Kluyveromyces lactis: one gene and its partners. The main gene of each other region encodes a partner of the protein of the gene in region 3 in a complex. Links are inferred from orthologs where the notes say so. Each region holds a gene or a part of one and is shown on either strand. Other genes may lie near its edges.

Region 1 (4,595 bases), on a different chromosome or scaffold from region 3:
GCTGAGCCAATTCTCTAGTTGGGACCAATATTACCCCTAGAGTGGCACCTTCATCATTCTGATCTGCCTTCTTATGATCTAAAATTGTTTGAATCACTGGTATCAAATATGCTAAAGTTTTACCAGAGCCGGTACTAGCTTTCGCTATGATATCCCTTTTCTCTTGAAGAGCTAATGGTATCGCACTGGATTGGATCAAAGTAGGGTGTTTGAAGCCGATACTGCGGATGGCTTGTGATAAACGTGAATCCAAGTGGAACGAATCGAAAGAAGAAGAATCATCAATGTATCCCTGGGAAGCGCTTGTTTGAGCCATATTGAAGCGTTTTTCTGGACTCTAGCTCTCGTCGAACACTTTAACTATAACCTCGGTTGTAAGTTTCGATCAAAAGGTTAATGCTGCTGATAGTTGAGACCCATTTAGCCTGTTTTACAGCTCTTGTACGTTCAGACTCTGGATGAGATGAGATGAGCTTCCCAAAAATTTTCTTGAGGTGCAAAAAGAAACTACACAGGCAAAAGGATTTATGAGTCACGTGATTGAGTTATCTTGTCTCTTCTGGATTGGCAATGTGAATGAAATACCTCACTGTAGCTCTGATTTTGCCATGGTATTGGTAGATTGATTTAAAATTTACTGTTATAATGAGAATATATATATATATATCGCGTTTAGTAGTTTAGTAAATGGTTTTTTGTCCTCTTGGTGTCTTTTGTAACTTGTCGAAAACGATATGTTCATTCAGTTAATTGAAACTTGAATGCATCTTTAAAGTTTTAATAGATTATTTAGTACAGAGGAACACCTTGGCAAGATGGCAGTATAGGGTTGAAAAGTATATAGTTAATGCAAAAAGATGATTAATGACTAGCTCATATATAATCATATCTATATATGAGACAGATTAACACAATGGGGCCACCAAGTCGGAGCCAATTTTTAATAAACTCTCTATTCTACCTTTCAATGGATTAGAGTTACATTCTTCCACAACCATTTTTGAGAAGTTTATACATGCTGTTGTTTTTCCTAAGTTGATAGTGCCTTTTATTTCTTCTTTGGAGTCTTCCTCATTCAAAAATAATGTAAAAGTATCACCAAACTGTTCCTTGAAAACTCTCGATATGTTCTTAATTTTAGTCGTGTGATCATCGTGTCCATGATGATGTCCACATGACTTCGAACTCATTTTGATACTTGCTGGAGCGCTCTCGACACTCAGTAGAATTGCCATGACACTATCCGCGACTGAATCACTGATAACATTCTGAGTCCATTGCAATGTAGCTACATTGTCAACTATATTTAATATTACATCTCCCATGATTTTTATTTCTAGTTCACCCTTCTTTATCTTCCTCGTCTTGAATTCGGGATTGATGTTCTTCAATGAGACGTTTTCTTCGTCAATGTATACATCTACGTCACCAAACATTTGGCAGATATGCCAATATACTAGTTCGCTTTTACAGTCCAAGTGGACTGTCTGTCTTTCTGTCAAAACTGTAGTAGATAATTGTTGATAATGTTCTCTTAAATCTGAAAGCGAAACTAAACTTAGATCAAAATTCTTCTCATCTGACACCAATATACCTGAAACTATTTTCTCATTTTCTTCTTTGACAATTTCCGTTTTACTTTCCTCTGTTTCTGGATCCTCTTCATGGATTTCCGTGATTCTTTTCTCATTCTTTAGTGCGTCTTCTTCAGTTATAAACTCATCGAGATCTTCAATAATTTTCCCAACTGCCCTGGCAACCTTAACATCCTTGAACTCAATATCAACAAAGACACAATTTCTAGGATTGAAAACATGAACCTCGTTTTCAGTATCCTTGAGAGAGCTGAAATTAGAAAGAAGGGCTGATTTTAAACGACCCATTGGGTTGGATTCGCCATGAACTAAAATGATGTTGCTAGCTCCAATTAGCTCGATAAATTCTAAATTTTCCCTAAAGTCAACATGAGCAGCGAATGTTATTTCATCCACTTGGCAACGTCTTGGGATAGTTATCTCAGGGTTGTGTACCGAGGGAATAGCCTCAGGTTCTAGTAACAAATATTTTGCCATTGTACCTTCTACAGAATAACCAGTGACAAGAACCAGATTTTTTTCTTCTGGACACCATTTTTCTAAAATGTCTCTAGATAGACCGTTTTGCAACATACCTGGGGATGCTAACATGACACTGGGACCAAAATCCTCGAATTCATCCAAATTCTTGAGGTAAGAAATATTCTTGAAGATGAATGGATTTGTTTGAGAATCTTTGAATTTTTTACGAATATCGTCATTCATCATATTAACATATGTCTGAAAGACACTCATACATTTCTTAGCAAGATTTGATGCGTAAAAGATAGGTACTTGCCCGTTTCCGAGTTCTTCTTTGTGATTCTGCCAATATTCGTCTAATATAAGCATGATTTCTTGAGCTCTTCCAAGGGCAAACACCGGTAAAAGAACACGTCCTCCCTTAGATACCACGGTATGTATTAACTGGGTCAACTTTCTTTCCCTGTTTTGTCTTGGTTCGTGAGTAGCGGTACCAAATGTACTTTCCACAATTATGACGTCCGAAGACTGAGGTGGTACCTCAGCAGAGTTAAGGTGACGGTCCACTTCTCTTGAATAATCACCAGTAAATAATACACGAACACCAGCGATTTCAATTTGAAACATCGCTGCTCCAAGAACATGACCTGCATGGAACGCTGTAAATTTAATACCATTTACCTCCATAGTGGAATGATAGTCAATAGTTTCTATCCTATCAAAGGACTCAGCCAAGTCCTCATCAGAGTATAAATTATCATTACTTGAATCCTGTCCTGGACTGTCTCCTATGCTGGTCACCTTGACGAAATCATTCAAAAGCCAACGATATATAGCTTTGGTCGGATGTGTCATGAATACTCTACCACGAAAATTCGTTCGTTGCATCACATAAGGCAATGATGCCGCGTGGTCAAGATGAAAATGTGAGATTAAAAGAAGATCGATTGTGGAGAGATCGAATTCATCGTAATAGGGCAATGAAGCTAAACCTTGATGGGCCGGATGGATACCTGCATCTAACATTAGAGTCTTGCCCTTATACTGAAGTATATGACACGATCTCCCCACTTCATTGGATCCTCCTAGTGAGAAAAAGCGAAGATGGTCCTTGTCTGGAACCTCATTTTCCAATTGAGTCATTTCTTGACAATGCAAAGGACAGACAAAATGCTCTCACAAACACGTCAAAAGTTACTGTCTGCTTGAGCCCCCCGATATCTGTTATGAGTGCCCGAATACCAACAGAGGTTGCTCGGTAACCATTGGACAGGACACTCTTCTTTATGTTGAATTGCTAAGATTTTCAATAAACGTTAACTGGTTTTAATGTCTTACAGAAAAAAGTGAGAAAAAAGTGAGAAACTAGGAAATAGCATATTGGTGTACAGAGGGAGTAGAGGTAGATATTGATAACGAAAAGTTAGTAAAGAGAGGGCTGAAGGCAACCTAAGATGATTTGAGAACACATCTTGATAACAAATGTCGTTACGTACTGTTTCTAGTGAGAATCTTGCTGCTTGTCGGGTTCTAACACCTATCTTAAACTGATTGTTTTCCCTTACTATGTAGATGTTGAAATAATAATATGTAGAATTTCTGATCGACAATATATCAGAATGAAACAAAGGGTAAAGGGAACAGGATAGGTCACGTGACTAGATTTATTTACTTGGATCAGGTCACATCTGGCTAAATTACTGCAAGTGTGTTGGTAAAATGGAATGAAACGAATTAAACTGCAGAATGTATGTAAACACAAATTTTTTTGCTAGATATATATTACAACTAAAAACGAGTGAATACTCTTTGAATTAAAAGGAAAGAGTAGAATGAAAACGAAATGTTGTGGAATGACGGAAACATAAGACATTAACACTTAGTATGAAAAATGGTTGTATTTTTTTCTTTAATTACGGGGAATATCCTCTGTAGAGGTGTTCAACGTTTGAATTGAAGGCTTCAAGTGAGGAATCCATAATCGTCGTTAACGGTCCAAAATTCTTCAACGGGAACTGACAACATAGCTTCCAATTGCTGTTGTTGTTGCTGTTGCGGTGGTCTTTGACCTTGCTGATTATCTGGTTGATTGAAGTTCATATTCATGTTGGTAAATGAAGAGTTTCTCCAATTCAGGGAGTTATTCAGAGTGCCAGGATTGTTGTCTCGATTGGGCATGACAAAAGTCTTTTGATCATTTGTTGTCGCTGATGATTGTAAAGATCCGTTTAGGTTGCCCATATTGTTGCCTCCATTCAGTGGATCTACGTAATGATTACTGTTCATCAAATCCAAAACCGAGTCGTTGGTCCATGTGGAGATGTTGTTGATCATCGTATGGGTACCATTATTGAAGATTATACCATTATCGTTCGGCCTGGGTGAAGGACCGACGGAGAATGATATTGGGTGCAACGGTGTGTTAGGAGACTTTACAAAGTTGGCTGGTTGCTTTTTTTGGAAAATGTCTGCATTTCCGTGTTGCCAGCCGGTTGGGGAAGACATGTCAGATGAAGTTACGGATGCTTTATTATCAGC
Region 2 (4,351 bases), on a different chromosome or scaffold from region 3:
AAAAACCAAGTATTACCCGGAAATGGTTAGATCTGCCAATCTAACTGGATCCAGATCGTATCCAATAGATAGCACAGTCAGTGAGCCTATTTAGCCAGTAGCCTCTTATTCAAATTAACGGGGAGAAGAGTTTCCAAACGAACTACAAGGGCCCATATAAAGGCCGACTTTCACTGTCAATGGGATAGTTTTCTTGTTTTTTTCGGATGCCGTTACAGATCTACACACGAAATACAAAGGTTTTGTAATCATCAAATATCTTGATTCTTCCATATCTGGATTTTCGTTTATATATATGCATATACTTCCAATTGAATTATTGTTGGATAAGATTTACAGGAAATTGAACATACAATTTGCAAATTCAAGCTCGCTCATTCTTATGATTGGGGTCTTTCACGTAATTATTGATTTTTCCTGGGTCTTGAAATCGATTTTGAATTTTTCTGGCTTTAAAAATTTAGTACAAAATGAAATAATATAACAAAGTGTGAACTTTTGAACTTACTATACCTTTTATTTGGTTTGAGTGTGTGAACAGGAGAAGCTAAAGTTAAAACCAACACTACATATCCCTTTGGTCCAAACTTGCCAGTACCTTCAAATTGAACTTCTTAATTCTTTCATTCGCTGGACACTCCTGAGACAGAATTGGTAAAGGAAAGAAATAAAGGGAAACGGAATTCTCAGACAATACAATATTAACTGGCTGATTTTTTTGTCTACACACATATACACACAGTCTCTCTCTATCTGAATATAACTGGATAGTTTGTGCTAGTTACGTTTTTAGTTCAAATTAGTGACGAGCACATCTTTTGATATTGGTCACCTGTTACCAACAACAACAACAACAAAAGAAGTTAGTGTCAGACTCACAAATACTGAAAAAAGCCTTTGCATTGGAACTTTGGTGTATTAACTCTCGGAGATTATACACATCCGACACTTATTTGATTATCCTCATCACGAATTAACTTGTGAGGAGTACTTTTGACGGTTCTTTCTGATCTAGGAAGACGTAGCAAGTCAAAACTCATTCAGGTTGTCGACTTCAGTACAAGACGCACAGGTTTTCAAGGACACTTACGATAATTCAAGGACGGTGATTGGCGACCAGTTGAATTCAATAAGCTCGGATCTTGCAGGGCTCAAGGTTTCCGGTTGTGATATCACTTCTGAGGTAGTACTAGGTGCAGTAGGGCTAATAGAAGAAGAAGAGGAAGGGGGAAAAAGTTCAGAATCTGATAGTGTAGGATCATCTCCCTCCAGACAAAGAAACCGGCATTTAAATCTCAATACAAGCCGAAACACATATCAGCATCATTTGCAACATCACCACCATTATAATCAAAGACAGCAGCATCAGCAACAATATTTCAATCAGCCAGGGCTACATTACGTTTATTATTCACCGGCTAACTCACCAACATCGTCTCCAATCTCAAAGAAGTTTCAGAACTACATTCCAAGAAGACAATCCGCGGACAGCCTTTTAAATACCGGGGGAAGTGATTATCTGGATAGAGCAAGGAATAGAAATATACCAGATTACAGAAACAAATATTATCCCAATACAATGTCCCAGAAAAAGATCTTTGGTGTAACGGGCCCGATTTCCACGGAGGGTCCCACTGCTGCCGAAAACGCATTAAACGATTCATTAATTCAACAGCTTAAGAAAGAAGGCTCTTTCGAAACGGAGGAAGAAACTGGGAAGAGAGTGGCAGTATTAGAAATCTTCCAAAAATTGACACAAGAGTTTGTATATCAGGTTTCAAAGAAGAAAAACATGTCCGATGGTATGGCTCGTGATGCTGGTGGTAAAGTATTTACCTTTGGTTCTTATAGATTAGGGGTCCATGGTCCAGGTTCCGATATTGATACGTTGATTGTGGTACCTAAACATGTATCCAGAGAAGATTTCTTTACCGTATTCGATGCTCTGTTGAGGGAAAGACCAGAACTTGAAGAAATTGCGTCAGTTCCAGATGCTTTCGTCCCAATTATCAAGATCAAATTCAATGGAATCTCCATCGATTTAATCTTTGCTAAACTAGATTTACCCCAGGTTCCAATAAGTTTAACTTTAAGTGATAAGAATTTGTTAAGGAACGTTGATGAAAAGGATCTAAGAGCGTTGAACGGTACCAGAGTCACCGATGAAATTTTAGAATTAGTGCCTAATAAAACATCTTTCAAGATTGCATTAAGAGCTATTAAGATATGGGCAAAGAGAAGAGCAGTATATGCAAACGTCTTTGGGTTCCCCGGTGGTGTCGCATGGGCGATGTTTGTGGTAAGAATCTGCCAATTGTACCCTAATGCATGCAGTGCGGTAATAATATCAAAATTCTTTCAGATTTTATCACGTTGGAAATGGCCACAACCTGTCCTATTGAAGCCAATCGAAGATGGTCCTTTACAGGTCCGCGTGTGGAACCCCAAAATATATGCACAGGATAGATCCCACAAGATGCCTGTGATTACACCAGCGTACCCTTCAATGTGTGCTACCCACAACATCAGTGAGTCAACTAAGAAAGTGATCTTATCTGAATTACAAAGAGGTGTAGAGGTCACACAAAAGATTTTCTCTAATGAACTATCATGGGAAGATTTGTTCAAGAAACACGATTTCTTCTTCAAGTATAAATTCTACCTAACGGTTATGGTCTCAACAAAGGGTTCCGACGAACAACACTTGAAATGGAGTGGATTCGTTGAAAGTAAGCTCAGATTGTTGGTCCAAAAACTAGAAGTTTTACCAGGAATCAATCTGGCGCATCCATTTATTGAACCATACGAGTCCAGCTATATATACAATAATGAGGATGAATATAAAGAGATCATGAACAACTACGGTACACATAAGACAGAAGGTGTATTGAAAAAGTTTACAAAAATAACTGATGCAAACAAAGACGATGAAGCCTCCAAAAACTCTAATCAAGTTCACATAGCCACGATGTTTATTGGACTTGACATCAACACAGAAGAGAGTAAAAAAATTGATATACACATTCCATGTCAAGAATTTTTCAATTTGTGTCGCTCATTACCCGACTATGAGGACCCTGAAACGTATTCTTTAATCATCAAGTATGTGAAAGTGCATGACTTACCGGATGAAGTCTACCAAGAGGGGGAAACACGTCCTGTGAAATCCAGCAAGAAGAGGAAACCGGAGAAAAGTGGTGAAAAGAGTAAAAGACCTAAATCCGATCCGTCCAATGGCAAGTCTACTACTACTACCAGTGGCAACACCAATTCTTCTTCCCCAGTAAATGACGCTAATTCCACTCCATCATCAAATGTCCCAGCAAACAGTAATACCAATGCTATCACCGAAGACCCAATGACTGCGACAACATAGAAAGTCTTACGATCCGTTCATACTACCTCTTCAGGGTTCGCATAATGCATCATGGCCAAGGCAACGTGAGTCTCCCCTCAAGCCTTAGCCCCAGTCATTAACAAAAGTTTCTCTACATTGAACGCGACACATAAACTCAACTTTCCCACTAGATAAACTAAGTAAAAAAAAAAAAACGTCTCATATCACAGAAAAGAACAGATCATTACTATAATAGTGAAGCTGTCCGCCACATACCCCATTGTTTTGCATAAACCTACCATCTCTAATCTGAATATTTTTGTTCTATCATCAAATATGTTTAACTGGTACTTATTTTTAGTCAGCTATGTGCCTTATCTTGATACATAATTGACAGATGCGGACAAAAAGAGTCAAAGGAAAACCACAAGAGATAGAAGGTTAGCCAGTTAGACACTGATAAAATCCGAGAAAACAAGACGTTACCGATACCCGAACAGTATCATCTGGTTCAGCCGCTGTTGATTCAACAGGCAAGTTCCTATTTCAAGTTTAACTTACAAATACACCCATAGTGATGAAAGAAAGCCACACTTTTCAGTAAAAGAAAGAAGCAACGTGACAGAAAGAGATCGAGTAATGGGAGTGAAGGAAAAGAAACAAGAAGTTGAAATTTGAAGGTAACTTAGGTAACAAGTGTCTTGTGAAGGGTTTTTATCTGTCAAAGAGGTTCAAGAAGCCATTTAAGGGCCATTTTCGAAAGGCTACTTTCTTTCATTTCGCCCAGCACTTGGATTTTGCTTTCTTTTGACGCAATTATTTCGTTTTTCCTCTTTGTACCCTTGTTTCTTTGTATTAATTATTGTGCCATCGAGCTAATTCGGTTTTGGGCTACAGAAGGGCTCTATTTGAATGGCACTTCTCAGTTATAAGCCTTGTTTCGTTCTTTCTTGTTTTTGGTTCTCTTGATGAGAGGAAGCTGTGGCATGCTACTACTTGATATAATTAGTTTTA
Region 3 (4,766 bases):
ACAATGGAAAAGTGCGAATATGACTAGCAATGAATTAGAGGAAAAGACGACGACGACCTGCGTGATTATGCAATAATTAAAGGATAAGAGCGTTCAGAAATTATAACCTCCAGTAAATAACAGATGAAAGACTATGAAATAGTCGTTAATTCTACTTCCTGGGAAATTTTGGTTACAACTTAGCACAAAGGTATCACTAAATCTGAAAGGAAATATGGGAAAGAATACAATGTTCTTAAAAAATCTTTGTGAGACAGCAGATTTTCACAATGAAAGAAGACTACCTTCCTGAAGCAGTCTAACTAATCCAACAGATGTTAAACACAATGAATAAACGCACACCTCTTTTCGGGCCTTGGTTCGTTCTGTTTATCACTTTCACTTCCTCTGACTTAGTTAGATTCCTGAAAACATATTCAAGAAGAAGCGATGTTGAAATTATTTTTTTTTTCAAATTTCAGCGAGACGGCATTAGTTCATTTCTTTTTCTCAAAGAAGCTCTGTGTGTGTCCTTTGTTTCGAAGGGAAACGAGAACGAGATGAGATCGTGCTGTGCGTGCGTTAACTATATGTTTTAACGATAATGTGGCTAAAAGGTTATATTTTTGAAAACTTCAAATTTCTCATTAAGTGACTGATACATGGTGGAATTTCAGCCAAACCTATTGGGCATTAGCGAGCTATGATTCTCTTTTATTCGTTGACGGTTTGATAGGAAAGTAGTAAGTTTCTCCTTACATATTGCTTTTGGAACGCAACCAAATTGCAATATCTTCGACGGCTAGTATATAGATATATAAATTTAGAAATCAGGGTTTACATTGATTCAGAATAGCTTTACTCAGGAAAAATACTTGTTCAATAGTGAATCGCATTGTGGTTTGATACTTTCGTCTACTTCAGCCATAGATTCGAGGGCAACTTTGATGAACGGTTTCACTGGAGGTCTGAACATCAACATGAATTTCAAAGACTGGAACCCCAATACCGATCTAGTAGGATCTAAACATAGTGATTTCATCTTTTCGATGTGTTCTTGAGTAAGTAACGGCATTTCACTGACCATTCGAATAAACAATCTTCTGTGGGAGTCATCAAGTTTGGGGATCATGAAATCTAGCACCTTTACTGACCATTCATTATATATGGTATGATCTTTACCATCGGAAATCAATTCCTCATGGTACCACTCTTCACTTAGCCATTCAAGTACAAGCGTGATTCTGTTCTGGAAATCCTCACAGAAGTAGTCAAAAATTGCGTTGGTGACAATATCTCTCACATCTTGATTCGATGACACTCCTCTAGAGCAGAGTCTAGATAATAAGAATACCCAGGAGGTCTTATTGTCCCAATTCATTAGTAGAACTTTGTCCAATGGATTTGTACTTTGTAATTGTGTCATTGGAGTGCTCACATCAGTTTTAGTTGGTATCAGTAATATATTCTGCACAATTCTTTGCAAGTGAGTCAACTTCTCATCATAAGTTAAAGTTGGAACACCCAAGGATACTGTATGACTGCTTGATGGTTCTGCATCTTCCACTCTTTCGATCTTTGCCCTTTTGCTTTCTGGTGGCTGTATAGGAGCTGAATCATCAATTACGTACCTATCGTCCGCAGGCTGCTGTAAAGGTTCTTCGTTTTTCATTGCAACTTCTTGCTTTATTGGCAAAGCTGCAGAATTCTCTTCTCTGGGACGTTTACTAGCTTGACTTTGGCTACTGTTGTTGAATGGGACTGGACTACTATCGTTGGAGATAGTTGCGCTCTGTTGTTGAGCATTGTTTTGTAACCACTTGTTTATCAAATCGGTGTACCTGGACGCAACTATGGATAGTCCATTAATGGCAGTACCTGTGTTTGTGTTACTTAAAGCCTCAGTACATATTTTAACCATGGTATCTTGAGACAACTTCGAGACATCGAATCCGGAGGTGACGGGGTTCATTAAGGCAAAAACGGCAGAATATGAGTTATCGACAGAGGTATGAGCAGGATTCAAAAAATGTGGATGCTTTGTCGTGGATTTAGTGAAAGCATAACTCTGAAGGGATTGCAATACAGAAAGATCAGGCGGTGGGGGTGGAGGAGCAGGTATGTTCTTTACGGGGGCATGTATCTGAGGTTGAAAATTATTCAGTAACGGTGGAGTAGATGCCGTATTCATCATTGTATTTCCTATCATTGGCGAAACAATCGGTGGCATTTGAATAGGAGACGGAGATTTCGTTGTCGCTGAAAATGTTCCTGATGAAGAATCTGAAGAAGAGTCGTTAACTTCCTTCACTCTAGTGTATTTTTTTTTATCAGCTGGAGTCATTTTATGTTCAATCGCAGCCGGATCATAATTTAGAATACCTTTAGCTTTGGTCTCTTCGCCAATAACGAATAGAGTCTGTGAAATTTTAGCTAGTTTGTTTCTATACTGTGTCATGGATCCACTGTTTTTGAGTAGTTGACTTTTAATTCCGAACTGAACTAAATTTCTGTAACAACGTTCCACAAATCGCTTTGCAAGTCTGTATTGTAAAGTGGGTTCATCATCTCTTTGGAATTTCATGTCAATGTTGAATTTCAGTAAAGCGGATGCGATTCGAATTGTGGCCAATGGTCTCTGCTTCATAATAAAAGAAAGACTATGAAGAGCACCTGTGAACCATGGTGCACACATCATTGGTTCCTCAATTAAAAAAGTTAACAATTTATCTAACAAATATTTGGCTTCAGCCTCCAACGCTTGCTTATTAGATATCACAGGATGATTTTCTGGTATACTTCCCACGCTAATTCCGGGTCCTGAGGTGTGCACAATAATGATTTTCGAAATGAGCTTCACACTTGCTAATTTTACCCCCGTTCCTCTTGAATGGTTATTTAGATCATTGTCAGACAAATCCAAAGGATAGCAGGTCTTCCAGTTGGCAATGATAAGTTCTTTAAACTTTAACATTACCGACCAAAGTTTATCATCAGAAGTCTTTGCTACTAAATCAAATAATCGGTCATAAATATTACCAAGACATAGTATACAGTTTTTGTAAGTGACATAATCTCTTGTTTCAGCCATTTCCCAAAGCGCAGTGATGTTTTGACATACAATGAATGGTTTTTCACTTGATGGAATCTTATCATGAACCAATATATCCAATAATAACTGGGTAGAAAATCTCGAGAACCCTAAATTCCGCTTATCATTTAAAAACAATGTGATACCGGTCTCCAAAACCTTAGGAAGCATTTGTTCCGGCATATGCTGCATTGCCATCGCAGCTGCCTGTTGCAACTGGACTAAAGGGTCTACAGAAGTTGACATAGTTTTCTATACTCAGCAAACAGATGATTGAAAACTCACTGGAACAAAACAAAAAAGTACTGACTGTTGAGGTGCTTTGTTTAAAGTTTAACACACGGTTTATAGTATCAACCACGCTTGATGCTATGTCTGACTTGCTCTTGCTGTTTCTGCGCTCTTCAGTCACTTGTGGTTTCTTATAGTCAAAACGAAATCTGAACTTAGTGTTTAATTTTTTTTTCAATTTCATGTTCGTGCTTATAGAGAAGAGAGACTGTGAAAGAGAAAAAGCTACAGATGGTACAAACCTGCCCGAGAATATTTATGGATTTCAGACAGTAATTGACATGACATTTGTAACATTTACTTCGATTGAACTGTATATTACTGATCATGAAATTCACAATTTGTGAGTTAATAATGCTATATTGCTAGAAACAACTAAATAATGTCATAGCTCACCGATGTCGCATTTTTCAGAGGTCAACTGCCTAATCGGTTGAAATATGTAAGTGGGGCATTGTGTTGATTTCTCTCATTTCACTTTATACGCTAATGATTTGGCGGTTTGATCATTGAACGTTTCTGGGTACTATGTCAATCAGGAAATCGAACATATCGGACTTTTGTAATGCATCCGCAATGTCTTGCTTCTGCAACGTACGTCGCTTATTTTCCTCTGCAACACACCATGCTCTCATTGTGAGTTCTGTGATGAAGATTTCGCAGGCTTTTGCAAATAGAATTGGAGCCTCTCCACTAATCATTCTAACTTCTTCGTCAGTTTTCATCACTTTCTTAATCCTTGCTAGTGGTAACGAATGCGATTTGAAGTCGTCTTGGAATTGTGAACCTGGCTCATTCGTGGATTCTATCTCATTAATAAGTTCCTGCCAATACTGTATCATAATTTCTCTGTATCTGCCAGCAAGTCCCTGGCCGACATTATGGAATACGTCGATCTCTTCATCTTCTTCGAGATCCATGAGAGGTCCTTGTTCGTTTGTTACGTTCTCTTGATTATTAGCTGCCGGTTGATCCATGGTTTCGAGGTAAGTGTCATCGACAATATCAGTTAGATTTCATGTGGATCTGTGCTGCTAAGAACAGGGTACGATTTCAATACAGATCCACTCTTAGCATATTATGCGGTTTCCTGAAATCGTTTTAAGGATATGATTGTGAAAATAATATCTATGGCTTTTCATTATAAAAAAGACCATTTATGAAGGGTACCTCAACCAATTCCTGCAAAGTAACGAAGGTGGGTAAAGAGTGAATAATACCTTGAAAAACCTAATCGGGCAAGGTCCACGATTATATGGATTCGGTAATATGTGCCCCCAAAGACAGTTCCAATCATTTACTACAACTGCAGAGTCTACACTTTCACATACAACTCACAAGCAATTATCCGGTGCAACAATTTATGATGAGCCAGAAAACTTTCTAGAGATAGAGGTTTGCAACC
Region 4 (2,986 bases), on a different chromosome or scaffold from region 3:
AAACAACAGACGTCAAAAAGAGAGGGAAATGAACTGGAAACAATTAGAGGATTACGTTTCGAAGTTGAAGATCGCAGAAAGTTGAAAAAAAGTGACCACTATCATCCTTACGGACTCACCATCACCAAATCATTATTATCGTCTTCATTATCATCATCATCACGGTAAAAGTTATGTATATACTTATATCTACGCGTCTTTTTCACCGAACATAGAATTGTTTCCGTATATATCAGTAAACGACAAATGATTTCCAACCCAAATAGGAGGCCTTAATTTACATATAAAATAGTAATAAAGGTACTACTTGACTGATAACTTGCCGCTTATCACTTTCTAACTGACAATTCTATATATTCTTTTTTATAATGACTGTCACCCAAATCCTATTCTTTTCAGCATGTTGGGTTTTGTATGATTCTTAAATTTCAACATCGGTTGAAAAAAAAGGGTCGCAGGCTCCATCGTCAGTATGGCTATATAAAGAAATATTGAGAAGTACGTGCAAATTGCTATTGAGTTAAGAAAACGACAATTCGTAGACAAAATCACTGTTTATAATTTAATCTTTCGATAACGAAGAAATTCGGTTAGAAATCAGTCTCATTTAGTTCAACTCAGAATTGTGTTTTATATCCTCGAGTGAAGACAGACCAATCGACATAATAGGTAAAGAATTAGGAAAGATGTTCAGAACAGCAGCAAGAAACCTTGGCGTGCCATTAAGAAGAAGTGTTTATGTTGGATTCAGCGGTAGTTTATTAGTCGGTGGTGGATCGTTGTTGCACTCGATGCAACCAAGCTCATATATCATGAACGATTCAATTGTTGATGTTAAGCAAAGAACGAATCTACCACAAGAGCTTGGATTGCCAAGCCGTGTTGATATAAGTTCGAAGCAAAGAAGAGTCAACTACAGACAAATGTGCTACGGGTCAATTTTAGGTCTAGTGTTCGGTGTTATCTTTGGTAAGATATCAAGTCTTCTCGTGTTCATCACCGGGGTTGGATTCGTTGGGTTACAATTCTTGCAGAACAGGGGAGTTATCAGCAGTGACAGCACTCGTTCTCTTTCCAAATACGTTGTGACCATCGGCCGTGAGAGGATTGATTTGAACACATTGATCTGGGACAAACCCAGCTTCAAAGTCTCATTCATCTTGACATTTGTGCTAGCTGCACTTAACGTCTGATTGGTTCCGAGAACGCTACCTTATTCAGTTCACGTGACTTTTTCTCATGTGAAAACCCAGAATATCCTATAACGTTATATTTAAGAATTAGTAAAATAATTATTGTGTGTAACTCGCTTGTAACATGATTAATTACCAATCATCAAAGACATTTTCATAAACGACTGGTAGGCTACATTAGACTGGGTTGTCAAGGAGATAAGGGAGTTTAAACTAATGAGTATAGTTCATCCAGATACCTCGAAGTACGAGTTTAATTTCGAGCCATTTCTACGGAAAGAATATTCGTTCTCGTTAGATCCAGATAGACCGGTATGCCAATACTATAATTCAAGAGAGGGGATAAAATCCTGTCCCAACGGAGCACGCTGTCCAAACAAGCATGTGCTACCGATATTTCAGAACAAGATTGTTTGTAAGCACTGGCTCCGAGGTCTCTGCAAGAAGAACGATCAATGTGAATATTTACACGAGTATAACCTAAGAAAGATGCCCGAGTGTGTATTCTTCACCAAGAACGGGTACTGTACACAATCACCGGAGTGTCAATACTTGCACGTAGATCACAAGAGTCAGTTAGAAGAATGTGAGGATTATAATATGGGGTTCTGTCCATCGGGACCTGCATGCACGAAGAAACATGTCAAAAAGGTACTTTGCCCCAGATACTTGGTAGGGTTTTGTCCACTGGGTAAAGATTGCGACTGGTCGCATCCCAAATTCAAAGTACCTTCAGAACACAGCAAACTGCGCATCAAGAAAGACGAGCATATTAATACAAGAAAGATGGATGAGGAAAGGGAAAGACGCTTGAATGCCATTATCAACGGTGACATCCTAGTCACGTGACTGAATTTTTTCAGTTTTCATCAGTGCGTTCGTTCTCAGCCACTGCTGCTGTCACTATTCACTATTCAGCTCACCATACGTAATTCGATACAGATACAGATACTAAGTAACATAATACTACACAATGTTACAGCCGGATAATTCTATCAACCGACAGCAAAAGCAACACACCTGAAAAATTAAGGGAACCAAGGCTCACATACCTTAAATTGCTTATCCAATAGGTATCAGACCTCTCAGCCAAAATCATTCGCTGAGTTTCATTTATGGACACGCGGTCGACATATTCCCCAGTATAGAACACTCCATTCCACAGTTTCTTTCGGTTTCTTTTTTTTCTTGCAATACTGATAAGCATTAACCCTGAGAGCGGACGCATGAATGTACACCAGGCAACAGCGTGAGTTCTTGAAGTCAGTTTTCTAATACACCTATAACTGGCACTAGCCAGCTACTGGGATGGCAGTCTCGCATCACAGCAAGGCTGTCGACCGGTACCTCTTCGTCACTTCGTCTCTCCTCTGCTGCTGTCTATGAACCAGCGAGGTTTTGCTCAAAATGGAAAATGAAATTTTCGACGAAAACAAACAGAAATAAAAAAAAGGGAAAAGGGTAAAAAGGAAAATTAATGGAAGCAAGGTTTTTCCAAAGCAACTTCCGGCCACTTTTAGGAGAATTGCCATTGCATTTGGTAATTTATTTGTATATATATATAACACTTCTATATTTAAAAGTAAGGTTACTATTGTGATAATAACACGCAAGCTATTAATATTGAACATACGCTCAGTTATATAGAGTTCATTTGATCGAGTAATAGTTAAAAAAAAAGATAAAGACACCATATATTACAACCATGCACAGAACATATTCTTTGAGGACTACCAGGGCACCAACTGCCTCTGATTTACAGAATCCACCACCACCACCATCTTCTACCAAGA
Region 5 (3,810 bases), on a different chromosome or scaffold from region 3:
AATAAGCTGGTCTAGAATCGAAAACTTCTCCTAGAGAAGCGACCTTAGCCTTGGACTCAGGACCTGGAATCTCTGAGGTAACGACCTTTGGTTCAGTTGGTTCGTTTGGGTAGTACTTAGCAGCAACGGACATCTTTTCCTAATTCAAATGATTACTCTGTGCTTGTGGACTGGGTGTAAACTAAAAACACAATTACAAACAACATGTAAATTATAGAAACTGGTTCCTCTAGTTCAGAGAGAACAATCTACCCATGGATTTATATACGATTTTTTTTCCCATGATTCATGTGCACCTCATCTGTATAGTCCCGCGCTCCCTTTAAGAATCGCCTTGCTTTAATTTCATAAGCACTTTTTTTTCATTGATCTCTAAGCTCAATAAGCACAGTGTTTTACGCTGTAGTAATTATCCGCGCGCCATTCAAAAAATTAAGAGCAGCGAATAGGTATTTTAACGAATAGGTCGGTGAAACTGCGACGGAAACCTCTTCTGCCCTCTCTTCCTCCTTCCCTCCTTTCCTCCTTCCTTCCTTATCAGCTCAGATCGGCACTGATGATACCTGATATAACATACTGAAAACAGAAACGGATTACTGCAAGAGAGGACTTGACAAGTTTTTCTTTTTACACACGCACATAAACAAATATCTATCTAATCTCTCCAAAGGATCCTGACACAAAGTGCTCCGTGTTGCTGTGGAGGGCGGCAGCTACCGCCAAAACATTCGAATAGTAGCCCAATCGTTTCGGCATTTCTTTCCCTTTGCGCTTTCCTTAGACATTTCCCTCGACGTTCGTTTCCCTTCATTTCGCCGCATGCATTTGACATCTTCCTGTTTTGAAATGTCGGTTATTTCAGCTTTTTCCATTTTCAGTTTCCTGTATGAGCCAAGTCGTTAAAGAGGAAAACTTGCGCGCGGAACTTTTAGGTTGGGAAACACGGTGGTATACACTATAGATAGAAAGAAAGCCTTCGAGCCATTATGGATGACTAAGAGATAGGAATTGTGCTATGTATTTTTCTTGTTATTGCTATTATTATTATCTATAGAAGGTAGTCGTTTTTGAGTTGCTGTATTAGTTGTTGCTGGCCTGGTGGAAGAGCCATTATGTTCGTTATGGGCATCGAAAGCGCAGTTCTGATCATGTTCTGTTGATCTTGCGGCAGTAGCGAAAGTTTTGCCTCGTTGAACTGCTGTGGGGTGTTGGCAGCGTTGGTTGTAGCGGTGGTGGTAATATCACCACCAGTACCGTTACCACCGCTGTTAATGCCTTGAGCCGTCTGGGGTACAGACGGCTCAGGTAGTTGAACTGGCGGCAGAGTTGGTACTGTAGGCGCGGCTGCGGCAGGCGTGGGTCCAACAGAATGTTGGCCCTGCATTTGGCCTAGAACATTTGATATCACGTGATAGTTTATCAACCCCATTTCTAGCATTGCCTGAGTGACAGCTACCGTTAAGTCAATGTTAGTCTTCAAGAATTGTTCCAGTTGTGGCTTCTTGTTATGCTGGTTGGCTAAGATCTTCAAGTTTGATAGAATCTCGATCATTTGTAACGTAGGAATCTTCGATAGATTTTGAGATACCACATCCGGTGCAGTCATCGAGCCCGGTTGGTATGCTGGTAGATGCTTTGATGCCCGTGCTAAGATCTCTGGGATCTCTATCTGCTGTGCCGGTGCCTCGTTCGCCTTCGAGGCAAGGTTATCCGAGGCAGCATTCGTAGATGCAGTGTTATTCTCCGAGGATAGTGTGCTTCCTGCGTCACTTGTTATTGGTTGCACCACCGGCAACGGCTTTCTTGGTAAAGGTACCTCACTTACCATTTCAAACGGTAGTTCTAATTTGTAATCCCAGGGAAAATTGTCTCTTGTGAACTCTAACGGTTTCAGTTGGTCTATTTTCTCTAACTTTTCTTTCCAATCTTTGGGAATCACCATGGACATCCTACATGGGAAATGGTTTATCTTATTTATTGAATTTTGGGCCCTATTGGCGGAGGAAGAGTCCCTGAAATCTACATCTACCCATTCAAGACATCCTCTTTCACTTCCAGCTCCAGCTCCAGCTCCAGTTCCTTTTCCCCCTTCTCGTTCTCCTGCTTCTTCGACCTCATCCACGTATTTCTCTCTAACGTCAACTATATATCCAGAACCAGTTATCACAGATGTGAAGTTATCCTTGTTCCACTGAGCAGGTATGTCAGTAAAACGTATGGTAGATGAAAGATTGTGCGGGGTCAGTTCATGCCTGCTTTTCCTAGTACGAGGATCCTTCTGTGGGTCATGCATACTTTGACTGTGTTTAGTTAGAAACCAACTTAAGAGTATTTCACCGTTTCGATATATATATGTATTCTCTAAATTGCAAACTTGTTATCGCAAATATCTGACTGGTGTCTAGTAACTAGTATTATTTTGCCTCACAATGAATCGTTACGAACATACATAATTACATATTCATTCTTTCTAGTCGACAGCAGATTTCTTAATTCATTAGTATGGCCGTTAGTCTTTAACGATGCTTAGAATCTTTTTAAGTTAACATTCATATAAGAACAATATCCGGGTAATAATTGATTATATATCACGTGCCAACTGATGTTTCTTTTGTTTTGTATTTCTTAGATTTACATGAAATCGAAAATCAGGAAGCCTTCGAAGTTAAAACGTAAAGATATGATTGATGAATAAGAAACTGTTCTGTCCACATCCAATATCAGCCAGAGTATTGTTAATCAAGCCTCTACTATTTAAGAAAATTGTTCTAAGGATCTACTCTCGTGGTTTGTTATCTAGACAAGAAGACAGTCTGATAAAAAAAGCATTGCGCATCGGTTCTTATATAAGCATCGTGAACCTAGGAAATTTGTTTAGAGAATTTGTCTGTGAGAATTCTAGTTTAACTGGTGGATAGTACTATACTTTATTATCATTTCCAAGAAACGTTTCCATTTATCATATTTATGACAACGATTTGGTGTTCTCCGTTTTCAAGTTAGATATATCAAATTAAATCGAACTGAACTGAAAGGAACAGTAATATATCCGTCATCCCGAAAACATACCCCCTGTGATTTATTAGCTAGGTATTGATAAGAGGATTCATCAGAGAATAACAGAAGACATAGTCATTGATCTTGTTTGACTGTATCTCAATTTTGAATCAGTCTCTTTTTTTTTGATTTTGTTTTGCGTTATTTTCACGTAAAGGTGGAAAAGAGGTAGTTAATTATTCTTGTTGAGTTGCCAAAACTGTTGTGGTCCAAACAGAGATCAGAGTCTGATTCAGATATTTCCCTTCATCTGAGAAAAAGGAAACAGAGGGCTGCAAGAATAATGAGTAAGCTGAGCAGGAAGTATCATTTGCCCTATACAAGAGCCATCATTGGCGAAAATGGTTTATTGATTAAAGATCAATTTACGTCCGGTCCTTCAACAAGCTCATCGACGCTTTTGGCACGCAGAAGTAATGGAGGTGATTTCGGCGATGACGAGGATGACGAAGACGGCGATGCTTCTGGGAGCTTCCAATCTAGTGTTTTTGAAACAGCTTCGTTAATCAGTTGTGTTACTTGTCTCAGCGACACGGAATCTAAAGATGAGAATGAAGCTCTGCTGCTACCTTCAAATACGGTTATTCCTTACGCAAAGATTCTTGATGTCACGAATATGGAAGCAGAAGATGATGGTTCCCCATGGCCGGATCATACTGCATTGATTGAAGTCACTTTTGCAAAGCCAAGGAGGAACCATTTAGTCCCAAAAACAATAAAATTGAGCGTCGATACTTCAGTGTTTCCTAATAT
Region 6 (4,761 bases), on a different chromosome or scaffold from region 3:
TAGTAGAATTAGATGCACCTGGTGTCTGTAGATCTGATCCCTACTAATTAGTAGATTAGATCTGAGTACTGGTTTATATACTTTGCTATGTGTCAGTGACACAAAACTATCATTAACCGCCTATTATATTGGTATCACCCGGTCATGCATTATGACTAGTTCCAACGAAATCAGTGTTCTGCAACCGTTGAGCGAACCTGTAGTGCAAAGTTTTTCTATTTCTCAAGTACAGATCCGCGATAGTTTAATGGTTAGAATTCGCGCTTGTCGCGTGCGAGATCGGGGTTCAATTCCCCGTCGCGGAGTATATTTTTTGCCCTCTAACCCCCCCAGATAAAGAATGCCAGACCTAGAATAGATGTTTGAATCCCGACATACATACCCCATTGGTCAGCTCTACAACTGATCTATAAATGCTTTACTACAATGCTAAATTACTATAATTAATTAATATCTAAGTCGATGTCACGTTTATAGAAAGCTTCCGCGAACAATTTAAACGTTGGCTAGCATGTCTGACACTGCCGATTTGACCTTGTAAAATACGTCCGATGGTGAACCATCAACTATGGTTTCGGCATCATTAATCTTCCGAACCAAAACTTTGCCATCAATCACTAGTGTACCTTCACCTTGGAACTCAGCTTTATGATTTTCCGCAGTTAGTCTTCTTTTCAATTCCGGTAGTCTAACATCTCCGATTCTTAGAGAACTTCCAGAATGTAAAGCTAACGGGTTGCTTAACGGTTTCAATATAACCTTCTCCCGATGTGGGGCTTTTGGGTCAGTTTCTGTCAATAGTTTACCAACAACGTGTGCCACAGTGAAAGATTTACTGATTCTTTGCCAGTTTAGAAGTTGGTCGAGCGATGGATCGATAGAAATATCAATTGCCTTGACAGATGTATCCATCTCAACCGAATTATTGAACTCAGTCACCAATATGTCAATATTTCTCTTTGTTAGATTAACCACGACTTGGTTATCAACAGGAGCAGCTGATGGCAGCACAATGACTTTTCTTGGTTTGATTGCAGGCCAGATGATTGCTATCGACCGCGCATTAACTATGCTTGTCAAGTCGATATATACCAAAGAACAACGAATGTTAACTTTTGTTTCCACAATTGCTCGTTTATAAATGTCACTTTTCAATGGGTCCAAGTAAGAAATATCATCATTATTTTCTTGTTTCCTAGGATTATGATCTGTTTTTCTTTTCTTTGATTTATTAATCCGCGAATCAAGTACCTCATATGTATCATCGTCATCGTCTTCATCATAATCGTTATTACTATAAGATTGCTTTAAAGATTGTGCTTGGTCATATGATTCTTCCTGTGGTAAGAATCTCTTTAAGTTGACCACATCACCGTAATCGTCAGATTTAAGCTTTGCTGGATGGAATGGGAACATAAGGTGCTTTTCATTTGTGGAAACACTATCATTGGAAGTAATATCTACGGGAATCTCCACTTTAACGTTTCCCGATCCATTCTTGCCTCTTGCATCCATTGAATCCACACCTTCTTCGTCGCTACTCTCATCATCAACATCAAAAAGTATTGTTTTTGTTTGAGCTTTGTCATTGGTCTTAGCCGTATATTCTTCGATAATTTTCTCTCTTACCTCATTTCTAGTTTTAATCATTTCTCTCACCTTCTCCGCATCCTTCTTGTTTAAAATTGTTCTCTTCATGATTCGAAGTGACATCGAATCAGATATGCTAATGGGGTTGCCATCCAATGCACTTCTACTCCCATTCTTTATTGCTTGTTGCCATTTATCATTAAGTTTTCGTAAGGGATGTTGTGCTGGGGTATTTGGATGTCTCTCTGTCAATATGATCGTTACTTTATCTTTAGAGCAAAGTTTGTTTATCGTTTGTGACAAAATATCATCAACTTCGGAAACAAGACAGATCTTTTGCCCAGTGTAACCTCCCAATTCCTCAGGAGTAATAATCCTCAATCTAGATACAACATCGAATGGAGACCGATTGTCTCGAGATTCCCAGGTCTTGATTACTTGCGAGGACAACCATTCTAACATAGATTTAGCATATGTGAGAGAACGGCCCCTTGAATAAGATATTAGAAACACCGGAATATCATACTTCAATCCACCCCTCATATTTTCATATAAGAAATTGTTAACTAGGACTAGTACTTCCAATAGTTTCCCTCCTACTTCAACTGGTACCAGTAAAGAGTTATTCATTTGTATAGCTCTTTTCATGGTATCAGTGAAATGTTCTACTCTTTTCCTCTGAGGTTCAGCTGAGCCTATAATAGAAAGGTTGGTTATTACAGAAGTCGGATGCATCATGGAACTGGTTGGATTTCCAGTATTGTCTAATAGGTCCGCACTATTCAAGATAGTATCTCTTGTATGGTTCCAACGAGGCGCATACAATATTTTTTCTGATGAAGTGATTATCGTCCAAATGGTACCACCGGGAGCATACCCTGAGTTATGTGCTTCTAATGAGAGCCCATCGAATTTATTCTTTAAATCCACCGTTTGAGAGTATTTCACCGTTTCAATCAAGTCAAAGGAGCTTTCAATATCTTCTAGGTCCATGACGGCATTAGAAAACGGTCCTAATATCCCAACTGAAGTTAAAAGGTCAACACTGTTGACTCTGCCTAGATTTGATACAGGTAACGTCCCATAAACTTGAATTCTCGACCTAAAATGAGGCAAAAACTGTTTAAACATCATGGCATAGGACCCAAGGCATTCAATTGTGGGCTGGGAAATCAGAACAATGTCAACTTCAGATATGTACTGCGTCCAAAACTCTTCACATTCTTCATAACTGCCTTCACCGTTCCATCCTGGGTCCAATAATACTATTACATTGTTGAATCGTACAATGGTTCCCTCAAACCGCTTCTTCTCATCCCTACATGTTTCGATGGTGTATGTCATCTTGAGAGCACAGTTACTTCTATATTTGAAAAACAATGAGAATCCACTGGTTGGAATGGGAAAGGAAAAGGTGTCCTCAGTGCCGGCAATCTCTTCTTCTTCTTCCTTTATCCTTCATTCTTCAATTATTTGCATGTACTGTTTAAATGAACTTAATGTTGATGCCTTGAGTATCATTTTGACATGTTATGTCCGGGTAATGAGATATAATGTCAGTAAGAAGGATTAAGAGGCCAAACTGAGACAGGGAAGTTGTTATTGGACGAGATACTGCTGCAATCTGTAGGTTGGTACGGTCCAGTAGGTGGAATATCAAACATATTTCATTGCTTACAATTATAGGCAACAAAATCCACAATTTTATCGGTACTTTAAGTGTCAAAATGTATTCCGAACGTTCTTTGAGGTTGAGTCAGCATATTAAAGAATAAAGCGACAGATTACGGAACAGATTGCTCAACTGACCCAAACACTGGAAGAAGTCTAAAGGCATCTTGGATATACCAGCGTACTTGAAATCAGTTGAATTATAAGGACCTAGTTTACAACGTGCAAGATAAGCTGCATTAGTTGACACTTTTGACAGATTTGCTAATGATAAGAAGGAGGAGAAGAAGATTTAAGGGTACAAAAGTAATGAGTCTTCCGATCGAAATTATTGATCGTGTAGTAACTAGCGGACTAGACAGTCTAGAGAGTCTGTTAGCATGGAGTAAGGTTGGTTCACATTTTAGAACAATTATAAAGCGCAAGCTTGGTGTATTGAAGATTTGGGATTTGGATAGGGAATCATCAAAAACCTTAGCAGATCCTTGCAATTATGAGTTGTTATCTGATGAGAGAAACACCGCTTGCGTAAATACAGATACGTTCAAGTTTCCTGTGTTGAGCGAATTTCTACGGAAGTTTGACAACGTTCTCATTGTCATCGTATCCGATCGCTGCTACAGTGACCCATTGGCGACGGCATTATGTGAATTAAGTAGAGGGCTAAGTGGGATGGGTACTCTAAAGAATCTATGCTTCATGTATAAGACGACTACCAATTTCCTTTCCAAGTTCTATTTCAGAGAGCTAAGCCATTGTCAAAGCCAACTACGATTATGTGAATTACATATATTCGCCAACCGAGATATTAATCACCAGGAAGTTGACATGTTTGATATCGACACGATATTTGAGACTACTTATTTACATGACGTGGAAACGCTGTTCACTTTGAACATAAGAAGGGGTAAGAAAGTGATTGCACCTAGGATTATGACAGTGAATCAATTGCAATGTGAGGATAACACTACAATAGTCGATGATCTACAATACTGTCCCCTGCTTAAAACGATTGAAAAATTCCAAGTGCCACCAGGAAAGAGAGTTGTATTACCACCATGCGACCATTTAACTCTCGTCAGTTACAATAGTAACACTGAAAGGGATCTTGTTGATGGATCCTTCGTGAGAGAATCTTTGACAATCAGGGCATCCCCAATGTGTTCAGAAGCCAATTTCAAGAACATCAAATGCCGCAACATTCGATCCCTATGTGTCGAATTTAGTAACAGTGTCTGGGGTAACGTCAAGTTCATCGATTGTGCTTTTGGGAACCTAAGGTCTTACAGGTGTCCAGTGAATACAGAATGGGAAGATTTGGTTTATTCAAACTCAATTTACGTTGATACAATCATATTCAAAATCTCAAACATGCTGTCACTACAGAACCTCGCACAGATCCCATTCACGTTGGACAACCTCGTCTTGAATTCAGACGACAAGGAATTGAAACCACCAGAATGTAAGCCGGATCAAATGAGAAGCATATACGGTTGTAAA
Region 7 (3,491 bases), on a different chromosome or scaffold from region 3:
GTTACTAAGAAATTGAAATATGACGATTGGGACTTCAAATTCGCAAAGGATGGTTCATTTGCACGCTGCCAGGTAAATGTCAATAAAAATATGCTGAAACAAATCAAATACAAAACAAATGAGCTACACTTTGAATTCCTCAATGAATGGGAGCGCGAATTTGATGAGAAAATCGCACAAACATATAAAGAAGACGAATTATGGAAACTTCCTCGGAAAAATCCATCTAAGGTTTGCTCTCTTACAGTTGATGTGATGTATCTTCCAAGAACTTCGTCCATGGAAAGATTCCCAAAGAATCTGAAGGCAGTTCAGAAGTGTTGCGAGAAGTATCTTGAACAGCAAAGGGTCAATAATGAAGGATTCCTGTGGCAAGAAGGCGGTGATGTAGAGGGAATGTTGAAAAGAAGATATATGATTTTGAAAGGCACTGAACTTATAGCTCATGACGAAGTTACCAGAAAACCACAAACTTTGTTGAATCTTCTAAACGTAGTAGATATATACTCTGATGGTAAAACGGCAACTGGAAAACAAATGAGAAACTTTACTGATATGGTACTTTTCAGCGATTGCTTCAAACTCCTTTTTGCAAATGATGAAGTTATAAATTTTAACGCTGATTCTAATCTTTTAAAACAACAATGGGTTGAAATTTTGACCAGCGTTGTTGAACTGAATAAATTCCATCAACCATGGATCAAAAGAGTTTTTGAAAACGAACAATACAACATTACTTTTTAAACTGTTATAGTATTCAGATATATAGTTTGTCTTTGCCATTTTTTTTGAAGTATAGTATATTAATGTCATTTCTCTAATTATAACAAATGTCAACATGAGGTCTTTAAAACTAAGCTGTGTTACAATTCCATCAAGGAATCGAAAATACATGTACATGTCCGCTATATATCATTAATGTTGCTTGCAATCAATACGAGCCTCAAGCACTAAATTTCATTTCTTGTCGTTGAGATTATTATTGTTGTTGTTGTTAATGTTGTTCATGTTGTTCATGTTGTTCATGTTGTTCATGTTGTTCATGCTTGATACATTTTGATTTTGCATGTTATTCATCATACCCGGAAATGGAAATCCTGGGAAACCACCAAACATGGGGGGAAGTCCCATAGGCGGAGGAGGAGGTTGGATTGTATTCTGTACAGGTTGTCCTGAACCTGGATCATTTAACTTTCCTTGCTGCTGTAAAGCTAGGAGGTTCATCAAAATCTTTTGTGGGTTGTATTCTTTCGTCAAATGTTCTTGTCTATGTAAATATTCCATCCAAGTCTGTTCATTAAATCCATAATTGAAATAATCTGAAATATTCGCTCCTGGTTGTCTCCAGGGCTTCTCCTTTAGAATTTCTGGATCGATCTGTACTATAGGTTTCCCATCGAATTGTGCATCCGGGTTCAAATCAATAGTTTGTTGTTGCTGCTGCTGCTGTTCAGGTGGTATTGAACCCTCCTGTACAGGAACCACGTCCGATATACCAGCCACTGCTGCAATAGCATGATCCGCTGTACCAAGAGGCGTTGTGTCTGTTATAGCAGATATCTGGGACTTACCAGAATCTATCTTAGAGGTATCGTTACCAGTTCCGATGATAATCTCAACATCTGAATCTGAGTCACTGCTGTCATCCTCATCTGATGAACTATCCTGATTGGAGGCCTCACTCTCTACCTCATTCGTATTACCTTCCGGTACATCATGAGCTAGTATCTTGGGTGTTTCTTCGACCTTTTGTCTTTTCAATGCAGGACCCTCTTGCTTTGCGACTACGTTAGAATCCTCCTCATCGCTGTATAGAAACTTATCGTCTTCATCCTCACTGCTCATAACGATTCGTTTCTATATGTCGTTCGTGGACTGGTAGAAGATTTATCAATAAATGCTTGGAAAGTTTGGAAGGCTGCGCAACCCAAAAGGTATCTTAACAGGAAGATAGTTCTTCTTCTCATATAGAAATCAACTAATAGTTAACTCTCAATGCTAAGATTTACCAAAATGATGCTGTTAAATCGACGCATATCCGGGTAAATTATTGTCGTATTCAATGACAAACATTTCTAATGAATATCTGTCACCGGACAGCGGACAGCGACTCAGCTTGTTTGGACGGAATGTATAATATGGGTTAAATGTGTAGCTAATGAGAATACATGATTTACAGAAGAATTAGATGTGCATGTTGCGGACAGTATCGATTTCCGATGTTAACGAACTTGAAAGAATATGCGATGGTAAGAATTAAAGATATGGAAAAGTAACAAGGGAAACCAAAGAAAAAAGTGCATCTTATTGACGAAGCATAATACTTTGTCCTGTTTTTTCAGAGTAAAAGTGTGAATTAATTAAAAAAATTGACAGAAAACAACAGAGGAAACAAACATTACAGGCGAGTGAGTGTCTTTAATGTGTTGAAAAGAGTCAGACATTGTTGAGAATGAATGTTCAAAAAAGTCGATTGTAAACTGCAATTGAGAAGTGAATGTTCTTTTTTGAAGTGTTTATGGGACCTGTAAGGTTGACTAAACATGGTCACCTTGTGTCCGCACCCACAGAAACAAAGTAAAAAAAAAAATGGAAGGTAATTTGAAATGAAGTAGAGAATTAGAAAGGAATGAATGTAAGAAATATGATGAAGAAGGAAAAAAATATGCAGGTGTATCATACAGGCAGTCTATAGCAAAGGGGGAAAAATAATATCTGGATAAAAGGATGAGGATTGTTCCATCAAAAATACGTCTTGGAGAACTTGTAATCAATTTCTTGGAATCTAATCTTATCGAAATAATCCAAATCGTTAGAATCAGCCAAGAAATACCCAAAATAAGGTAGTAACTTGTTAGTTAGCGTGTAAACAAACTGATCCTTTTCCGAAACGACCGAATCTTTCTTTGAAGATGAAGAGGAGAACATGATGGGTGCCACCAATGCACGTTGCTGTTTTTTCTTCACTGGAGCCATGCACTGCAAGTCATTGTCCAAATCTTGCTCGTCTTCTTCCAGTAACACGTTGATACTTCTTGTAGAAGAGAAAACAGAACTGTGTCTTGTGTCAGCCAGTGAAGGTGGTGTAGAAGAAGAACAAATAATTCTCTGTTCATCTTCTTCTTCAAAACTCGTCTGTAAAAATTTCAAATTGTGAACGTGAATCAAATGGACAGGCTGAGTATGGATCATCGACGGCATATGGATGGACCTTGGCTGTAAATCGTGTCGACTGATAACATGCTTCTCATGAAAATCAAGGCTTACATCATCTTCGAGATCAGAAAGTGCCAATTCACCATGCCATTCCATGTTAACTCCACATTCTTGCAGGTCGTCCAGTTTCAAATAGCTAGAAATATCCAGCTCGCAGTGCATTGTATTGGGTAAAGTATATTAAGCTTCTATGGTAACCAGTTAGTATTTCACTATCAGTTTTTTTTTATGCACGGTAATGAGGCAACCGATAGAAAAAGAAAGACAGACAAGAA

The links.
Region 1: PTA1 (region 3) and YSH1 share a complex: the UniProt entries of both Saccharomyces cerevisiae proteins name them as parts of the cleavage and polyadenylation factor (CPF) complex. The link is inferred for Kluyveromyces lactis from reciprocal best matches to the Saccharomyces cerevisiae genes PTA1 and YSH1.
Region 2: PTA1 (region 3) and PAP1 share a complex: the UniProt entries of both Saccharomyces cerevisiae proteins name them as parts of the cleavage and polyadenylation factor (CPF) complex. The link is inferred for Kluyveromyces lactis from reciprocal best matches to the Saccharomyces cerevisiae genes PTA1 and PAP1.
Region 4: PTA1 (region 3) and YTH1 share a complex: the UniProt entries of both Saccharomyces cerevisiae proteins name them as parts of the cleavage and polyadenylation factor (CPF) complex. The link is inferred for Kluyveromyces lactis from reciprocal best matches to the Saccharomyces cerevisiae genes PTA1 and YTH1.
Region 5: PTA1 (region 3) and PTI1 share a complex: the UniProt entries of both Saccharomyces cerevisiae proteins name them as parts of the APT complex. The link is inferred for Kluyveromyces lactis from reciprocal best matches to the Saccharomyces cerevisiae genes PTA1 and PTI1.
Region 6: PTA1 (region 3) and CFT2 share a complex: the UniProt entries of both Saccharomyces cerevisiae proteins name them as parts of the cleavage and polyadenylation factor (CPF) complex. The link is inferred for Kluyveromyces lactis from reciprocal best matches to the Saccharomyces cerevisiae genes PTA1 and CFT2.
Region 7: PTA1 (region 3) and FIP1 share a complex: the UniProt entries of both Saccharomyces cerevisiae proteins name them as parts of the cleavage and polyadenylation factor (CPF) complex. The link is inferred for Kluyveromyces lactis from reciprocal best matches to the Saccharomyces cerevisiae genes PTA1 and FIP1.

The regions. Positions count from the first base shown.
Region 1 is NC_006039.1:418,686-423,280, forward strand, and holds YSH1 (cleavage polyadenylation factor subunit YSH1), read right to left. Parts: upstream 3,201-4,595; coding exon 906-3,200; downstream 1-905. Other genes in the region: DBP9 (ATP-dependent DNA/RNA helicase), read right to left, coding at 1-316; KLLA0_C04620g (uncharacterized protein), read right to left, coding at 4,020-4,595. UniProt on the Saccharomyces cerevisiae protein: Component of the cleavage and polyadenylation factor (CPF) complex, which plays a key role in polyadenylation-dependent pre-mRNA 3'-end formation and cooperates with cleavage factors including the CFIA complex and NAB4/CFIB. Has endonuclease activity.
Region 2 is NC_006038.1:1,161,167-1,165,517, reverse strand, and holds PAP1 (polynucleotide adenylyltransferase PAP1), read left to right. Parts: upstream 1-1,579; coding exon 1,580-3,376; downstream 3,377-4,351. UniProt on the Saccharomyces cerevisiae protein: Polymerase component of the cleavage and polyadenylation factor (CPF) complex, which plays a key role in polyadenylation-dependent pre-mRNA 3'-end formation and cooperates with cleavage factors including the CFIA complex and NAB4/CFIB.
Region 3 is NC_006037.1:330,198-334,963, forward strand, and holds PTA1 (RNA-processing protein PTA1), read right to left. Parts: upstream 3,317-4,766; coding exon 842-3,316; downstream 1-841. Other genes in the region: HAP5 (Hap5p), read right to left, coding at 3,868-4,338; SNX3 (Snx3p), read left to right, coding at 4,631-4,766. UniProt on the Saccharomyces cerevisiae protein: Essential in pre-tRNA processing. Component of the cleavage and polyadenylation factor (CPF) complex, which plays a key role in polyadenylation-dependent pre-mRNA 3'-end formation and cooperates with cleavage factors including the CFIA complex and NAB4/CFIB.
Region 4 is NC_006042.1:760,556-763,541, forward strand, and holds YTH1 (cleavage polyadenylation factor RNA-binding subunit YTH1), read left to right. Parts: upstream 1-1,409; coding exon 1,410-2,042; downstream 2,043-2,986. Other genes in the region: protein phosphatase 2A regulatory subunit RTS1, read left to right, coding at 1-85; FUN14 (Fun14p), read left to right, coding at 687-1,193; lipid-binding protein PIL1, read left to right, coding at 2,899-2,986. UniProt on the Saccharomyces cerevisiae protein: RNA-binding component of the cleavage and polyadenylation factor (CPF) complex, which plays a key role in polyadenylation-dependent pre-mRNA 3'-end formation and cooperates with cleavage factors including the CFIA complex and NAB4/CFIB.
Region 5 is NC_006042.1:1,903,960-1,907,769, reverse strand, and holds PTI1 (cleavage polyadenylation factor subunit PTI1), read right to left. Parts: upstream 2,294-3,810; coding exon 1,049-2,293; downstream 1-1,048. Other genes in the region: UGA1 (4-aminobutyrate transaminase), read right to left, coding at 1-133; KLLA0_F20504g (sphinganine kinase LCB4), read left to right, coding at 3,341-3,810. UniProt on the Saccharomyces cerevisiae protein: Component of the cleavage and polyadenylation factor (CPF) complex, which plays a key role in polyadenylation-dependent pre-mRNA 3'-end formation and cooperates with cleavage factors including the CFIA complex and NAB4/CFIB.
Region 6 is NC_006041.1:1,062,601-1,067,361, forward strand, and holds CFT2 (cleavage polyadenylation factor subunit CFT2), read right to left. Parts: upstream 2,935-4,761; coding exon 496-2,934; downstream 1-495. Other genes in the region: KLLA0_E12035g (uncharacterized protein), read left to right, coding at 3,571-4,761. UniProt on the Saccharomyces cerevisiae protein: RNA-binding component of the cleavage and polyadenylation factor (CPF) complex, which plays a key role in polyadenylation-dependent pre-mRNA 3'-end formation and cooperates with cleavage factors including the CFIA complex and NAB4/CFIB.
Region 7 is NC_006041.1:534,109-537,599, reverse strand, and holds FIP1 (cleavage polyadenylation factor subunit FIP1), read right to left. Parts: upstream 1,846-3,491; coding exon 958-1,845; downstream 1-957. Other genes in the region: BUD4 (Bud4p), read left to right, coding at 1-744; transcription factor IME1, read right to left, coding at 2,743-3,378. UniProt on the Saccharomyces cerevisiae protein: Polymerase-regulating component of the cleavage and polyadenylation factor (CPF) complex, which plays a key role in polyadenylation-dependent pre-mRNA 3'-end formation and cooperates with cleavage factors including the CFIA complex and NAB4/CFIB.